Drosophila melanogaster: one gene and its partner. The protein of the gene in region 1 purifies or fractionates together with the protein of each later gene. This does not show direct contact. Each region holds a gene or a part of one and is shown in the gene's direction. Other genes may lie near its edges.

Region 1 (3,818 bases):
AACGATTAAGTATGTAAGCTACGTAATACAAATAGAGTGAAATATACATATTTCTTCTAAATGGCATGCTATTGACCCTTTCGCGTGAACTGCATTTATTTTGAGAACGCTTTAATCATAGTCACAAGGATACAAGGATACAACCCACGAAATATTTAATATTTATGGCATCTATTGGATATTTCAAATAAATGCGACTTTTGAAGTTTGTTTAAATATTGTCAGCTTGTTGGCCTCTAAAATCAATTCTTTCTTAGTTGTTTTGCTTTTAGAGTTAGACTTTTGATGCGAAAACCCATGTAATACATTATTGTGCATATATCTTGCAGATTGGACCCACGAAACTGTGTCGAAAGCCGAAATCTTGCGCTTAATTTATCAAGGTCGTTTTCTTCATTGCAATGTAACCTTAGGAGCACTGGGACTTCCATTAGGCAAAACGACTGTTATGCATTTAGTGCCACGTGATAATTTGCCAGAGCCCAATTCACAAGGTAGGTTTTCAAAAAAAAAAAAAAAAAAGAAATATGGTTTCAATTATAAAGAGCTGCTCAAATTTAAATTCGCAATGCATACGAAAAACATCTTACTGAATTTTCCTCCTCTTTTAGATCAAAGACAAAATAGTAAAGGCGGTTCTGGACGATGCTGTTCGACAAATTGCTCTATTTTGTAACTAAATTATTATATAATAGCGTAATATTTAAACTAATTTGCATTAAAAGAAAAAAGAAAAAAAAAAAAACACCCACAACCGAAATAAAAACAAATATGAATGTATAAATTACATTTTTGTGCAGTCAGAAGTATATTTATTAAACTATAATAATGTATGTCTGGATCAACAAGGCGCTTTGTTTCAACTATTAATGTACATACAATATATATTTTATATATATACCACACAGGAATTCATGAGCATGTGCAAAATGCGTATACTCTGTATTAAAGTTGCTAGACTGCATATTTATAACATGTAATATACGAATACAATGCTAATTGCTTTTAGAAACCGGACTTGTTAACCTAATTAGAGAATGGGTAATTACAACACTTATTTCAAATATGTCGAAAATATTGAAAACTAATTATGTGCAAGAATAAGTAATTTTCCCATTGCGTTCTGCTTTTAAGTGTGCGTCTACCGAAAAACTAAATAAAATCAGCAATTACTTGTCAGATCGATTCTTTAATGCGTTAAAGAATATTAAAGAAATTTTTGTTCTGTATATATACACATTTAATTAGAACTTAAGTGTTTTCTTCTGTTAAGTTTTAAAATATTATCTGTAAAGTCTAACTTAAAGTCAATGATAAATAAATAATCTAATATATCCTTAGCTTATCCTATTTTGGGTGCATTGGTGGTTATTTGATTAATTAGCCTAGAACTAAAAACAAATTTCAAGGAAAATTGGGGAATATTTTTTTTAAGTTGATGGTTTAATGTAACAATTTTTCTTGAAATGCTTTATGCAAGGCACGTTAAACAATGTCTGCTTAATTATTTGTGTAGGCATGAATAAGTAACAAGCTTCGTTCTTTCGAATAAAACAGTTTGGCATATCCATATTTATTAGGGTTTTTCCCAAAGGAAGAAAAATAAGTAAATTAGATTTTTAAATATTGAAAAGTTTGAGTTTGGATATCGATAACAAATGTTACTAACAGTGTGTATGTTCAATAACAGAAGTCACAGTCGTCGTCGCTATCTTGACGCGCGTAAGCTAGTATTTAAGGTATATGTGCGACAATCGACGGTATATTTCTGACTTAACTCTCAAAAACTAGTTGGCCACACTGACCGGATTCAGAAAGGGAATATCTTATATATTTTTTGTGTAGCGTGAATATATTTCGAATAAACCGATCACAATGACTGCCTGGAGAGCTGCCGGAATTACGTAAGCATTGTATAAGTGCCTGCCACACCAGCTGTGTTGTGGCAGCATTCTCATGCAAATAAAAACGCCTTTGCTGCCCGATTACATAACATAATTAATCCAAATATTACCGATTGCAGCTACATCCAATACTCCAACATCGCCGCTCGCATTTTGCGCGAGTCCTTGAAGACGGGACTGCGTGCGGATGCCGCCAAGCGCGACGCGAGCCATGTGAAGTTCACTCCCTGGGCAAATGGCAAGCCAGCTCGTACGTATCATAATACTTTAGACGGCCAAATAGCAGCCATTATATAAATTAACTCCGGATAATTCGAAATCCAAGGGGAAACCGTTATCAATGTGTTATTAGGAATGTTTCGAAGTCATCCACAAGTGGTTTCCACACGGTATTCTACCCAAAAGTTTCGGAAAAAAGCCCCGTTTCGAAATGGCAATGTGAAAAATACCGAAAAATGAACGGTTCACTCGTGTTCCCACTTTACTCCGAAAATGTTGCCAATTTACAGGCGTAATATCGCGTGTAAAAACTGTTCCCATCTATAGATATTCGTATATTATTGCATATATCATATATATTTGCAATCTGTTTAAATCCTGATCATCAACATTGAAGCGTTCATACTCATCCAAACCATTTCTAAAACTTTAATTTCAAAATTTTCGTAACTTATTGGAATATCGAAACAAAATTAGGCAAAATTGCTTACCATTCCTTCAAGACAAACGCTCCATAAAGTAATAGAATTTATGTTTCATATTGCGTCATATTTGAATATATTTTTCAGATGAAAGGGCTTAGGTGTTCCATCGTCAAATTAATAATTTAAAAACTGGCGTAAGTGCCTGCCGCGGCAGACAAAACCCAAATTATCCCAGCGTTCGCATTAAACTCAACGACAGTTTATGTATCTAACTTTGTTCCCAAAGTTTCTAACTACGCTTACAAGCTGATCTGCATGCAAATGCGATGTGTTTACATATAATATAATGTTTATATTAATATACATATATATATCCCAAAATTGCCCGCCCCAAAAGTTTACAAGCGACCAACTATTAACTATTTCTTTGTGATGAAAAACTATTATCCAAAGCAAATGCTGATTATTGCCATTTTTCTGTCCGCAGAGCGTCAAACCCAATCGGAATCCTAGATGCTTTTCAGTGGCCACTCGAGAATGATTCGCAACAACTAAGATCCGCCGAAGCTGCAATGTTGTAAAATCATGAAAAATAAATAAAATTAAATAAATGTAATTTATTTAAACACGATGATTTTAATTGTTCTTAAATGTGGCATTTATTTGGGCGTTCCGTTTAGAGATCGCGACCGATGAAACGGACTTCTAGCAAAGATTTAAATATAGACTCAATAGAATATTGTAATTTTGAAAAGAACTATTGGTCAGGTTCACCAGAAGCCTTTTAATTGGGATCAGTGATAGGTTTCTTGCTATAATTTTGTCAACGCATATTTGTATAGAATGATTTTATACACATAATGCTGAACCAATTGAATTGTTACTTATATTTTGCGCTTTAAATATACACATATAGACATTATTTATGTTAATTATTATCCAGTTAGTTTATATTTTAATTTAAATATATATATATATATATTTTTAAGGTAGAGTATTTTGGATTATCCTTCAAAAATTATCGATTTGCTACCACTAAGACCGATTAAATTGCTACCGAAGTGCTATTTCAATTGCAGCATGTTGATTTGTGTGTTGATGATGTCGTGTACTTGCGTTTCCTATGTCATCGGGTGCGATCCTTCAATGGTTGGCGAGATTGCATTTCCCATCTTAGATCATAAGTCCTTTAGAATGGCACTCTTTGCGTTTTTCAACTTATCGAGGCGTTTCAACAAATGGTTGTTGGACGTTTCAGCTTCCTCCAACT
Region 2 (3,965 bases), on another chromosome or scaffold:
AAGATTATAACTCTTTGTGAAATCAAGTCATATAGGAGTATGCCAATTCAATAGACAACCTTAAACATGGGAGCCAGCACGGCAGAGCCCGCATCTCCGTACTCGTAGGCTGTTATCAGCTGTGGAAGAATCTTATGCCTGCACACGTTGTCCGGAAAGTTGTCGAGATGCGTGGTCAGACCACTGAAGAAGCGATTCTTCTCCGCCTTGTCCTTGATTTGGATCTCCTCTAGGAAGAGCAGTGTGTCCACCAAATCGTTTTTGAAAAAGCCTCCAGGCTTGCGGCAACGTGTGATTATATCCGCCGGGTTGGGACGATTCGAAGGCGAGGCGCCAACCAGCTCACAATAGAGCGATTGCAGGGACTTGGGTATGTGTTCTATATCCTTGAGGTTGGAGCGTTGCTTGAGCACACCGTTGAAAGCTTCCCACACGAGGCAGCCCAGGCCCCACATGTCCACGGAGCTGGTAGAGAATCCGATTTGAAGGATTATTAAAATAGTCTAAGGTGAGAGGATTACGTACCATTTGGTGGCCGCCTTGAGCTTGCTCGGATCGTTCTTTTCGGGGGAATCGTAGACCTCCAGGGTCACAGGTATTTTGGCGGGCGGCATGGGATTACCATCCGCCGCTGAGACGTACTCCAGGCTGCCCAGTTTCCATTCGCCGGAGGCATTGACAAACACCGACCAGGCGGAAACATTGTTGTGTCGCAGATTGCCATCGTTGTTGAGAAAGGACAGGGCGCGCTGAAAGGGATTGGTGACTTGGTTAGCTAGGGCAAAATATCAGGGATATGGATACCCACAGTGATCTGGAAGATGCCCCAGGCCAGGTAGAGGCCCTTTTGGACATTGTCGCTGCCCAGCTTGGAAAAGTAAGTGCCCAGCGGATCCACCGCCTCGGTGGCCACGTACAACATCTTGTCCGTTTCCAGCGAGTCCAGATACTGCAGGATGCTGGGGTGACGCAATGTCTTGAGGCGCTTCAGCGCCGCCTTGGCCAGCTCGCACTTGGTGTCGGATCCGCTACGGATGTCGTAGACGAACACAGACACCTCCTCCAGCGTCGTCTTGCGCTTGGCCTTGTGCAGCGTCCATATGGAGTATTGGTCAAAGCCGCCCACCGGTTCGCCAATGTCGTAGGGGAAGTCTTTCGAGGAGTCGCGCGAGAAGAACGACCACATTATGTGTTTTGCTCGGCGGCTCAATATTTTGTTACTGTTGTGTCACACAGCAACAGCAACAACAACAGCAACAACTGGCGATTGCAACTGCAACAACAACGCACTGCGCAGGCAACACACGCACGCACACACGCACGCACGCACTCACACACACGCACACCTTGTTGCTGCCACACAAAGGCACTGAAATCGGTGGAGCCCCGATTCTCGGTTTATCCTCAAGCACTATGCCTCTGTCTTTAGCCTTGGCTTGAGCCCTATCCTCCTCATGCCAATCCAGCCGCCTGATGTCCTTTATTTTCCTCCGATGCGCAGCAACAATTTTCCAGCTTTGCTTACGCACACACACACGCACACAGCTAACTTATCCGCTGTTTTTCGTCCCCAGAGGTCTCATCCCTGGGATCCCGGGTGTCCTGGACAGGGCGATCGTGTCTATGTGGCTCTGCTGCGGGTCGGGGGAGTCAGTAGATCGGATCGGGCGCTCGTCTCCGTCGAATTATCCTAATCTTTTTCCCGAGTACGTCAGCTTTTTTTTGCGTGAGGCGTTAGTGACGGAACTTCGTGGCTCGTGCGTGAGCAGCTGATTCCAAAACAGAGCTGGCAAGGAGAAGGAAAACTCTGGTCGAGGGTAGAAAACAAGCTGGCATCTTTGGCAAACCTCTTAATCCTTATCAATTATTATTCTGTTTTTAACTCTATTGTCATAATTATGAGTTACATAAATTCAAATTAATTTCAAGCTTTATTGTGCATTCTGAAGCTTTCCAAAGAAGTTTTGTATTTTATCCAATATTAATAGTTATATGTAGCACAAATCCATTATCCGAAATTTCCATAATTAAAATAAATTATTTAATATAATATTTTACCGTTCACCACGAATCGCCACCGCGTTAACCCGAACTGGGTGGCAACTCTGCTCGGTGTTATAACACTCGTTGTGGCGCAGCCAACTTAACGCAAGGTAGGTGAATTTTCTCAATTTTTGCCGAGTGAATCGAGCTAATTTTCGCGACAGGGAATCTTCGACAACTCACAGGATGATGATGCAACGCACCCAGCTCCTGCTGCCCCTGGCCATGGAGGCCACCATGCTGGCCCAGCAGCAGCGTGGCATGGCCACCCTGAAGATGATTTCCATCCGCCTGAAGTCGGTGAAGAACATTCAGAAAATTACGCAATCGATGAAGATGGTGTCCGCTGCCAAGTACGCTCGTGCCGAGCGAGACTTGAAGGCGGCTCGTCCTTACGGCATCGGCGCCCAGCAGTTCTTCGAGAAGACGGAGATCCAGCCGGACGAGAAGGCGGAGCCCAAGAAGCTGCTCATCGCAGTGACTTCGGACCGTGGTCTTTGCGGTGCCGTCCACACTGGTGTGGCCCGTCTCATTCGCGGCGAACTGGCCCAGGACGAGGCCAACACTAAGGTGTTCTGCGTGGGCGACAAGTCGCGCGCGATTCTGTCCCGTCTGTACGGCAAGAACATCCTGATGGTGGCCAACGAGGTGGGCCGACTGCCCCCCACTTTCCTGGACGCCTCGAAGATTGCCAACGAGGTTCTGCAGACCGGTTACGATTACACCGAGGGCAAGATCGTGTACAACCGTTTCAAGTCGGTGGTGTCCTACCAGTGCTCCACCCTCCCCATCTTCAGCGGATCCACCGTGGAGAAGTCGGAGAAGCTGGCCGTCTACGACTCGCTCGACAGCGACGTGGTCAAGAGCTATCTGGAGTTCTCGCTGGCCTCGCTCATCTTCTACACCATGAAGGAGGGCGCCTGCTCGGAGCAGTCCTCCCGTATGACTGCCATGGACAACGCTTCCAAGAACGCCGGTGAGATGATCGACAAGCTGACCCTCACCTTCAACCGTACCCGACAGGCGGTCATCACTCGCGAGCTGATTGAAATCATCTCCGGTGCCGCCGCCCTCACATAAGCGAATGGAATGTGTTCGAACAGCTCTAACGATTCATACAGCTAATTGCATATGGTGCCAGGCACCTGGAGCTACGCCTGGAGCCCTAGTAATGTTACTCTTTCAGAAAAACCCCAGAATAAATAGCGTGGAACGAACGAAAATAACTTTAACCATGGAGTCCTTACCTAATTGGAGTGGGAGGCAAGGAATTTGAAAGCACTTGCACAGGTCTGTTTGGTTTTTACACATTGATATCATGGGATTCGATTGCATTCTTATGCAAAGACCCATTGATATAACTTAATGTGCATAAAGTCTCAAATTTCAAGTGGCAATGACTAATGACCAAAAAACTATTGGAACGTTTATGTATATTTTGATACTCTTTAAACTTTCAGAAATTGGTGGTATCTACACTTTGTGCTTATCTATGGAATTAAGGCGTGGGATTTCAATGGGATGCTTCTTCGTTGCCTAGCACATATTCTGCAGCACATTCAGTATGTAGGCTCCAATGTCCTCGTCCTGGTTGGTCCACGATATCAAAATGTTCTTCTGCTTGGGATCCTTCTCGTCCTCCTCCACCTTCACCTCAACGGATTCGATGGCTATGGAGCCGTTCTCCTGCATCGTCACCGTCCAGCCGGCTAGCTTTTCTTCGAGCAGAGTCTTCAGTCTTTCGCTTGTGCGAATGACCGGTCCGGAGTCGTCCATTTTGACCTTGGATGTAAATCGCATAACATGTCGATTAATTCCGATTTCCTTCAGGGCATCGGTTAGGTTTTGCAGCATTATTCGATTGTCCTTCATTACGAGGACGCCATGGATTAGTCGCCGCCTCTTGGGATCCGGTGGCTGGG

What was found. The genes of interacting proteins can lie anywhere in the genome.
Region 2: the proteins of sun (region 1) and ATPsyngamma purify together in Drosophila melanogaster (affinity purification with mass spectrometry, with the first as the bait; one large-scale study listed by BioGRID). This does not show direct contact.

What each region holds. Positions count from the first base shown.
Region 1 is NC_004354.4:15,847,222-15,851,039, reverse strand, and holds sun (stunted), read left to right. Parts: upstream 1-1,781; 5' UTR 1,782-1,875; coding exon 1,876-1,904; intron 1,905-2,023; coding exon 2,024-2,154; intron 2,155-2,692; coding exon of another isoform or gene 2,693-2,706; exon of another isoform or gene 2,707-2,742; intron 2,743-3,035; coding exon 3,036-3,061; 3' UTR 3,062-3,181; downstream 3,182-3,818. Other genes in the region: UBL3 (ubiquitin like 3), read left to right, coding at 330-494, 612-676; CG8578 (uncharacterized protein), read right to left, coding at 3,727-3,818. UniProt on the Drosophila melanogaster protein: Activates the G-protein coupled receptor mth in vitro, leading to increased intracellular calcium ion levels.
Region 2 is NT_033777.3:29,747,012-29,750,976, reverse strand, and holds ATPsyngamma (ATP synthase, gamma subunit), read left to right. Parts: upstream 1-1,813; 5' UTR 1,814-2,153; exon of another isoform or gene 2,154-2,207; 5' UTR 2,208-2,229; coding exon 2,230-3,123; 3' UTR 3,124-3,262; downstream 3,263-3,965. Other genes in the region: yata, read right to left, coding at 60-465, 526-749, 809-1,186; IntS11 (integrator 11), read right to left, coding at 3,580-3,965. UniProt on the Drosophila melanogaster protein: Mitochondrial membrane ATP synthase (F(1)F(0) ATP synthase or Complex V) produces ATP from ADP in the presence of a proton gradient across the membrane which is generated by electron transport complexes of the respiratory chain.